2 linked regions of the Oryctolagus cuniculus genome follow. The protein of the gene in region 2 interacts with the protein of the main gene of each other region in a biochemical or structural test. Links are inferred from orthologs where the notes say so. Each region holds a gene or a part of one and is shown on either strand. Other genes may lie near its edges.

The links.
Region 1: of the proteins of EID1 (region 2) and FBXO21, one has a biochemical effect on the other in vitro, tested with the Homo sapiens proteins (2 studies listed by BioGRID, with this or other methods). The link is inferred for Oryctolagus cuniculus from reciprocal best matches to the Homo sapiens genes EID1 and FBXO21.

What each region holds. Positions count from the first base shown.
Region 1 is NC_091452.1:13,519,172-13,523,440, reverse strand, and holds the start of FBXO21 (F-box only protein 21), read left to right. Parts: upstream 1-1,330; 5' UTR 1,331-1,386; coding exon 1,387-1,625; intron 1,626-2,297; coding exon 2,298-2,433; intron 2,434-4,067; coding exon 4,068-4,162; intron 4,163-4,269. UniProt on the Homo sapiens protein: Substrate-recognition component of the SCF (SKP1-CUL1-F-box protein)-type E3 ubiquitin ligase complex.
Region 2 is NC_091443.1:71,693,470-71,697,978, reverse strand, and holds the start of EID1 (EP300-interacting inhibitor of differentiation 1), read right to left. Parts: upstream 2,903-4,509; 5' UTR 603-2,902; coding exon 18-602; 3' UTR 1-17. UniProt on the Homo sapiens protein: Interacts with RB1 and EP300 and acts as a repressor of MYOD1 transactivation. Inhibits EP300 and CBP histone acetyltransferase activity.

The sequences.
Region 1 (4,269 bases), on a different chromosome or scaffold from region 2:
AAGCAGTGACTCCCAGTTCCCTCCCAGCCACCAGGAGCCTCTAATCTCCCTGCTGTTTCAGTCAGTTTGCGTTTTGCACATGTTTTGTTGAAGTGGGAGCAGAGCACATCTTCCCGAGAGGGGCTCCTCTCGTGGCACCTGCTCTGCAAGGCCCCCGCGTGGGGTAGCCCGTGTCAGTGCCCATCCTAGAGAAACCTAGTCGGCCGGCCAGACTCCATTTCGTCAATAATAATCTTGCCAGCACTGCAACGTGGGAATGTTTTACTTCGCGGCCTGAGCGCAATCTCTTTGAAGTGCAAAAGGCAGGTGGAGTCCCTACCTCTCTGCTACCGTGGGAGTCCAGTAGGGGCACCATGTTCCCAGCTGGAACCACCTGCATCATAAAGACGTGAATGACTGGGCTATTCCTTGAGGCATAGGCACCCAGCTGGCACAGCGTGTCCTCTGTTGCCACAACGCCTTGGCTGGACTGGGAAAGAAGGAGGGGGTCAAGTTAGCCCAAACCTGGAGAGCTAGGGTGCACACTCCGCAGATGGCCTCCCACCATCCAGGAGAGTAACTGGGCTACTTCCACCTTCTCAGATTCCCACTCGGGGGGTTGGGGGACCCTCTATGGCAGCCTCTGTCTACTGACAGCAGATTGCTCCAGGAGGTCAAGGACCCCATTTTCCCTCAGGTCCGTATCCCCAGGGCACACAGCACAGGGTGCGGTACTGCACGGAGCTGAGTTTAAAACAAGGAAAAGGTGTAGGTGCCGGGAGTACAGCCACCCACGCTCCTCCAGGCTGCTCCGCTCTTGCCTGACTTAGAACCAGAGACGCCCACCTTTCCGAGCCTGCTTTTCCTTATCCGTGCAGTGGTTATAATTAGAGAACCTATCGTGGGAGACCAGAACATGCCTTCCCAAACTATGAAAGGGCGTCCTGCTGACGAGAAGCGCTGTCAGCCCTCCCTCCATGTGCCTGAAAGCAGGCGCTGCTAGGAGTTGTTACTCCCTGCAGTACTACAGAGGGCTCTGTTCATCACAGCGTCCTATAAAGAACGTGGTTTGGCACAGCAGATCCGGCGTTTAAGCCCCGGCTAGGGACGCCGGCATCCCATATCAGAGTGACGGGGGTTCGAGTCCCAGCTCCCTGCTAATGTTCAGCCCATTTAAAAACATTTTCTCAAAAAAAAAAAAAAAAAAAATGGAGGCCATTAGGTCCTGTTGCAGCCTCCCTGGCTCGGAGCTCAGCTCCCTTCTGCAGGAGCTGAGAGGGGGTGCGGCCAAGGGTGGGCGGGGCGCCGCAGGCCCCGCCCCCCGAGGCTGGTGGGCAGGGCGAAGAGGGACGCCCCCGGCGCGCTCGTGCGCGTGCGCGCGCCGCAGACCCCAGGTACGCGGACAAGATGGCGGCAGCAGCGGTGGACAGCGCGATGGAGGTGGTGCCCGCTCTGGCCGAGGAGAACGCGCCGGAGCCGGCGGGCCTCAGCTGCCTCGTCAACCTGCCGGGCGAGGTGCTGGAGTACATCCTGTGCAGCGGCTCGCTGACGGCCGCCGACATCGGCCGCGTCTCCAGCACCTGCCGGCGGCTGCGCGAGCTGTGCCAGAGCAGCGGGAAGGTGTGGAAGGAGCAGTTCCGGGTGAGGTGAGCCCACCGCCCCGCGCGCCGGGCCGGCCGCGGACCCCAGCTCGGGACCCCGCCCGCGGCCGCCAGACAAAGGCCTCGGGGCCGTCGGGGCCCCGCCGCGCCGCCCCCCCCACCCGGTGCCCAGATGGCGCGTCCGGGCGCGGGGTCCCCGCTCGGGGCCGCCGCCTCGCGCCGGGTGCGCTCTGCGCGCCTCTTTTGTGCCCGCCGCGGCGCGCGGTGTTTACAGCCCGGGCCGCGGGGGCGCGGCTGGCGGGGGTGGGGGGTGGCGGCGCGGGATGTCGATGCGGGGCTCCGGGTGGGATCCGGCCCTGCGGCGCCCCGGGGGTGACCTTGGGGCCGGCGGTTTCCCGGGCCGGGCCTCCTGCGTGGAAGGGTCGCGCGGTCCTCAGACCTCCTCGGCACCGGGAGGTTCTGATCGGGCGAGAGGATGCGTGGGACGCGCGCGCGCCATCCATGTTTACTGTCATTGTCATCGTTCTCGTCCCCGTCGTGTGGACCAGGGGGCCGGGGACACGGCCGTGGCGTCGCCACGCCAAGGGCACGGTGCGAGGCGGGGCGCGCGCGCGGGGTGGGGGTGGGGGGTCTGAGCTGGAGACCCTCCCCCCCGGGCCGAACCCGAGGCTGCCTGCGTGGCTCTCTGAAGCGGGGCCGGTGTGTCTCTCCCCGTAGGTGGCCTACCCTTATGAAACACTACAGCCCCACCGACTACGTCAATTGGTTGGAGGAATACAAAGTTCGGCAGAAGGCTGGCTTGGAAGCCCGGAAGATCGTGGCCTCGTTCTCCAAGAGGTTCTTTTCGGAGCACGTAAGCATCCGTGGACGTGGCCGCGAGCGCTGCGTGGCCGTGGGGTGTGTGCGTGGGGCTGGGGCTGCAGGCAGGCGCTCAGGTCCCTGCGTTCGCTTCCCCAGCTGCGAGAGAGTCATTGTGTCCCCTTCCTCCCATCCCTGCCAGCCTTACTTTCTAAAAAGCCAGAGGGAGAGAATGGGGCAGGAGGGAGTAGGGAGGTGTGCCTAGAGCGGATCCTCTGCCCAGCCTCCACCTAAAGTGGGGCATCATCATTGGTGATTGAGCTCTCTAGATCGCTCCCAGTTGTTTTCCCTAAAGGGCTGACGGAATGAATGCAATTCTGCTGTCTGGTGTTGCGGGTTCTACCTGGTGATGAACTGCATTATTTATCTATAAAAGGACAGAGAGTTACAAAGCTGTCTGTACATCAGAGTTGTAACTCCCTCGCATAAAATGACCTTGCAAAGGCTTTCTTTTCAATAGTGCCAAAATGCATGGTGGGTTTTTTTTTCTCACCCCCGAAATGTCTCCCAGAAGTTTCTGTATCCACTCCTAATGCTGAATTCTTTGCGTATCCAGACGACAACCCACTCTGATTTTCTGAACTTGTCTAATGATATTTATTTCTGGTCGGGGGTCCTAGAACGGGAGCCCACCTGTTTTATTTTACCAGCCTGGGTTTCTGAAGATTACTTCTGATTTTCTCACTTCATTACTACTAATGGAGTTCATACATTTGAAAGATTTTAAGGCTTCTCAAGTTTTGAAGAGGAAAATCTGAACTCTTTCTCCTTGTGGAGAATAAAAAATAGACCTTCCCTCGTGTCATTCCCTTCTGTAAACGTTTATTGGTGCAAGGAAGCGGACTTTATGTTGCACTTTGGAGAAGCCACGCCTGGGCTGACCGTGTCGGTCATCACAGACTGCGAGTCGTGGTGTGAAGCCTTGCACACAGCGTCCGGGCGCTGCGCAGCTTTGGTGCTGCTGGCCACGGGCTGCGAGGCTACGGCGTCCGCTGCTGCAGCAGCCGGTTGTGTGTGTGTGTGTGTGTGTGTGCGGTTTGAGCTTTCTCTGCCTTTGTCTGGTGATGAAGAATTGTGTTTGTTCCTTTGCTCCCCCTCTGCCTGTCCCATGCTTAATTAGAAGTATGTCAAGGACTTTGAACACAGCGGGAGTATACTTCAGACTGATCCGTGGGTGGGCGATTGGTTTGGCTCTGGACCCTTCTGTCCCTGCGTTCCCAGCATGCACACGGGCTGACCTGAAACATCCTGGCTGCTTTTACAAAGAAGAGGAGAAGTCATCTTAAAGTCTTAAATACCAGCAGGCTAGAGGAGTTGCCTCCTCCCTGGCTTATCTCGCTGGCCCTCTCTCCTGGTTGGTACAGCTGATCTGTGTGATGGGAACGCGTGATCCTGAGCTGTAGGACTTTGTAGCTGTAGTTCTGGTTACAGTTACTTTTCTTCGCCTTTCAGAAACTGCAGTCTATGGAAACACAATTAATTTACAAGTACCAGATGTGAACAGGTTAGGAGGAGAGTGTGGAATAGCTCCAAACAGGCACGTTTGTCGGCCACTCAGATGGGTGTTTGAGAGTGACAGCTGCGTTAGTACTCACGCTTGCGGCCTGTTGATGTCTGTCTTCCTCACAGGTTCCTTGTAACGGCTTCAGTGACATTGAGAATCTTGAGGGACCAGAGATATTTTTTGAGGATGAACTGGTGTGTATCCTGAATATGGAAGGAAGGTAAGCCTAGCTTTAGCAGGTTTTTTTTGTTGTTGTTTTTTGTTTTTTTTTTTTGTTTTAATAATAACCCCAGAAGGAATTGCTATAATGTGTGGCTGAACCCCGGA
Region 2 (4,509 bases):
CTCCGGTCAGCATTCAGCTACTCTCTATCGATAATCTCATCGCAACCGAGTTCCTCGGTCAGACGATTGACAACCATAAGTGAGAAGAGCTCTTCAATAAAAGCTAACTGGTCGAACGGGGTCTTCTCATAATGCATCTGAAAGCCGCCATCCAGGGCTGCTTCTCTGGCTCGGGATGTGCCCAGGAACATCTTGTTGGCTTCCTCCAGGGCCGCGGACACTCTGTAGCCCGCGCCGCTCGGCGGCTCCTCTTCTGGATAGTCGTAGTCGTCCTCCCAGTCATCAAATTCCTCGCCCTCGTCCTCGCTCTCCAAGTCCGGGCCCGCGACCTGGCCGGGCTGCTCCCCAGGGCTGCGCCCGGGAGCCAGGCCGCGTTTCCCCGCCGGCGCCGCCATTGGCTGGGCCGCCGCCCCCTCCTCCTCCTCCATCGGGCCTTCCTCTTCGAGCTGTGGCGCGGCCCCGCTGCGGGAGGGACTCGGGGTCGGCTCCCGGCTCCCGCTGCCTACCTCCATCTGCGGAAGGTCCCCGTCGCCGGGCATCACATCCATCTGCAGGTCGTTGCACTCTTCATACAGCTCCGACAGCTCTGCCATTGCCGACATGGTAGAAACCGCTCAGGTTCTAGCAAAGCGCTTTTAGCAAAACAGGGGCGACGCGGCTGCGCCGTTGTGCGCGTGCGCACAAGCCTTGCTTTCGCGGGACTCGGGGCGCATGCGTGGCCCCCCAGTTGCCGCCTCCCGCTGGGCGCCCCGCTATGGCGGGGAGCTCGCCGTTCCCCGGGGAATGTCGGGGCGGCTCGGTGGACTGTGTGTCCACCGATTCAAACCTCACAGCTAGAGACTGTGTGTACGAGAGCGTTCCGTGGGCTCTGCTTCGCTGTGCCGCGATACTACTTAGGATGCTATAAACTGGGAGATACCTCCCTAACCACAGTTAACGCTCCTGCTGCTCCTCTTCCTCATCCCCCAGGCAACCGCACCTGCTCCACGGTTTCGTCTAGTCCCTAATGACTTCTCAATCCACGTCTCCGAACCACACGCAGGCCAACATATTGAGAACTGAGCCATTCTGCTCTTTTCTTTTTGCCCCTTAAAATTAAGTTCACAAGTCATATAAGTTAAGTTATCCTATTTTCAGTTATAGTCAGTGAACATTTGGTCCCATTTTTCTTTCCTAGTAAGTAGCTTTCTCCTATTATCAGTCAGCTTGATGTATATTCTTTAAATAATTTTTTTACATTATTTGGATTTTTATGTGGGAAAACTTTTTTCTGCATGCTCTATATAACTCTCAAAAACGTTTATCAATATCCTGAAGACTTAGCTCTCTCTATGTGTATAGGGTATGTCTACTTTAAATATTGTCAAAGTACTCTCCAAAGTTGCTGTAAAAATTTAAGTTCTAGACAGTAGTATTTGAGAACTCCCCACACCCTTTTCACACCTGCTTTTGTTGGATTTTAACAGTTTTATCAATTTAATAGTGTATCATTTAATACTATATATTTTCTATAGTTTTTATTCTTAAAGAAGCCCTATTTGGTATTTCTTTTGTTACTGACTTGTGTCCTCTGAATTCCTTATAAAATCTGTATGTGAATACTTTGTTTTTAAGGTTACAACTGTTCCTCGTCTGTCTTAAGAGGTCTTAAGAATTAGTTTTATTTAATCAGATTTAAAGGTTTTTTTTTTCTGAATGTCTTTTTATCATGATGGATTTTCCTACTGCACAAAAACAATTTTTATCTTCCTTCTGATTCTTATAGATCTTTTGTAAATCAAACATTTGTGCAATACAAGGAATCTTTAAAAACTGTATGGAGGAAGAGGTGTTTAACTTAGCGGTGAGGATGCCAGTGGGATGCTTTCGTCTTGTGTCAGGTTACCTGAGCGTACCGAGGAGGTTCACTGCAGCAGCCGTGTTCTCCCTGAGATGCAGAACCCGTTCTCTGAGATCACAGGAGCAAAGCGACTCTCGGGTTCCAGTTGCTGACTCCAGGTTCTTGCTAGTGCAGACGCTGGGAGGCAGCAATGGTTTCTCAAGTAATTGGGGTCCTGCCACACCTGTGAGACGGGGATTGCGTTCACAGCTCCAGCTCTGGGCATTCTGGAAGTGTATCAGCTGATGGAAGCTCACTTGCTTTTCCTCTCCCTCTTTCTCCCCTCCCCCTACCTCGCCCTCCCCCTCTCCTCTCTCCATCTCTCCAATAAATATATTTAAAGATAGTATTTTTTTCCTGTTTTTAAATGTTATATGCATTAAAAAAGCAGCATGTATTCTTTGTGTCTGGCTTCTTTGCTCTCCAAACATCGTTGCTGTGAATGATAGACCATTTGAGTAGCACAGTGGTAATATTAGGATTGTTTCCAGTTCAGAGCAGTTACGACCAGGGAAGTTTTTGTCTTTCTTGAGAATATCTACCATTCCATATAAATACACAGTTCTGTGAGATGTACATTGCTTGGTCATTGTATAATAGCAGCTCTAGCAGATTCTGCCACACAATTCTGAAATGTAGTACATAGTGCATAGTATTAGTGTTTTAAGTTTTTAAAATGTAGTTATTGGGGCTGGCACTGTGGTGTAGCAGGTGAGGCCGCCGCCTGCAGTGCTGGCATCCCATATGGGCACTGGTTCGAGTTCTGGCTGCCCAACTTCTGATCCAGCTTTCTGCTATGGCCTGGGAAAGCAGTGGAAGATGGCCCAAGTCCTTGGGCCCCTGCACCAAAGTGGGAGACCCAGAAGAAGCTCCTGGCTCTTGGCTTTGGATCAGTCCAGCTCCAGCCATTGTGGCCATCTGGAGAGTGAACCAGCAGATGGAAGACCTCTCTCTCTCTCTGCTTCTACTTCTCTGTGACTCTGCCTTTCAAATAAAATAATCTTTTTTTAAAAAAAAGAAATAATAAAATTTATGTATTGGGACCACCTAAGGTGCCGGCATCCAATGCAAGATCCACAGGGGAGGATGACCCAAATCTTGGGCCCATGCATCCATGTGGGAGATGGGGAGGAAGCTCCTGGCTTCCAATGGGCTGTTGTTGCCATTTAGAGAGTGAGCTATTGGTTGGAGGATCTTGCTATCTCTGCCTCTCTCTCTCTCCCTCTGTAACTCTGCCTTTCAAATAAGAAAGAAAGAACTTTTTAAAAACTACTCTTCATTTTATCTGAAAGGTGGAGGTGGGGGTGGGGGATTGAGAGACAGAGGAGATCTTTTGTCCACTGACTCACTTCTCAAATGCCGTCAGCAGCCAGGGCTAGGCCAGATTGAAGCCAGGAGCCAGGAATTCATCCATGCTTCTCACATGAGTGGCAGGGACCCAAGTTCTTGGGGCATTATCTGTTGCCTTCCAGGGTGTGCCTTAGCAGGAAATTGGATCAGGAGCAGAGCAGCCAGGAAAACCAGGCACTCTGATAGGATGTGGGCATCCCAAATAGGAACTTAACCACTTAGCCAGAAGTCCACCCATAGTGTTGATGTTCTAATGAAACTTTAAAAAACAGTGTGGCAAATACATCTCCGGGATGCCTGTGTCTCATATTGGAAGGTCTGAGTTCAAGTCCCGGCTCTGTGCCCAGTGCTAGCTTTCTGCTAATGTGCACTCTGGTGCCCAGTGCTAGCTTTCTGCTAATGTGTACGCTGGAAGATAGCATGAAATGGCTCACGATGTTGCATCTCTGCCACTCACGTGGGAGACCCAGACTGAGTTCCTGGCTCCTATTTGGCCCAGCCTCAGCTGCTGCAGGCACTGAGGGGAGTGAACCAGTAGATAGGAGATCTGTTTCTGTTTTTCAGATTAATTTTTTAAAAAAAGTTCTTTAAAAAGATTTTTCTTGGCTTATTGATGCAATTCACTTGACTAGTTTTATTTCATATTGGAAGGCTTAAGGGTACTGACTTGGTCAGAATACTTTTGGTAGTGAACAACAACACTTCAAACTATGCAAAAATAAATACATAGAAAACAAAAACATAAAGGAAAGGGGAAAGTGTACTGACTAAAGCTAAGGAACAAATGTTGCCACCAACCTTTTCTTTTTTTTTTTTAAGATTTTATTTATTTATTTGAGAAATAAAGTTATGAAGAGAGGGAGAGACAAAGTTCTTCCATCTGCTGGTTTACTTCCTAATGGCCGGAATGGCCAGAGCTGAGCTGATCTGAAGCAAGGAGCCAGGAGTTTCTTCCAGGTCTCCCAAGTGGGTGCAGGGGCCCAAGCACTTGGGCCATCTTCTAACTACTTTCCCAGGCCATCAGCAGGGAGCTGAATTGGAAGGGGAGCAGCGGGGACAGGAAACAGCACCTATATGGGTTGCTGGCACATCCCCAGCCCTTATTTTATTTCATTTTTTCAAAGAGTTATTTATTTATTTGAAAGGCAGAGAAATACAGAGAGAGAAGGTGAGAGAGAGAGAGAGATGGAGAAATCTTTCATCTGCTACTTCTCTCCCCAAATGGCCACAATGGCCATGGCTGGGCCAGCCTGAAACCAGGAGCTTCTTCTGGGTCTCCC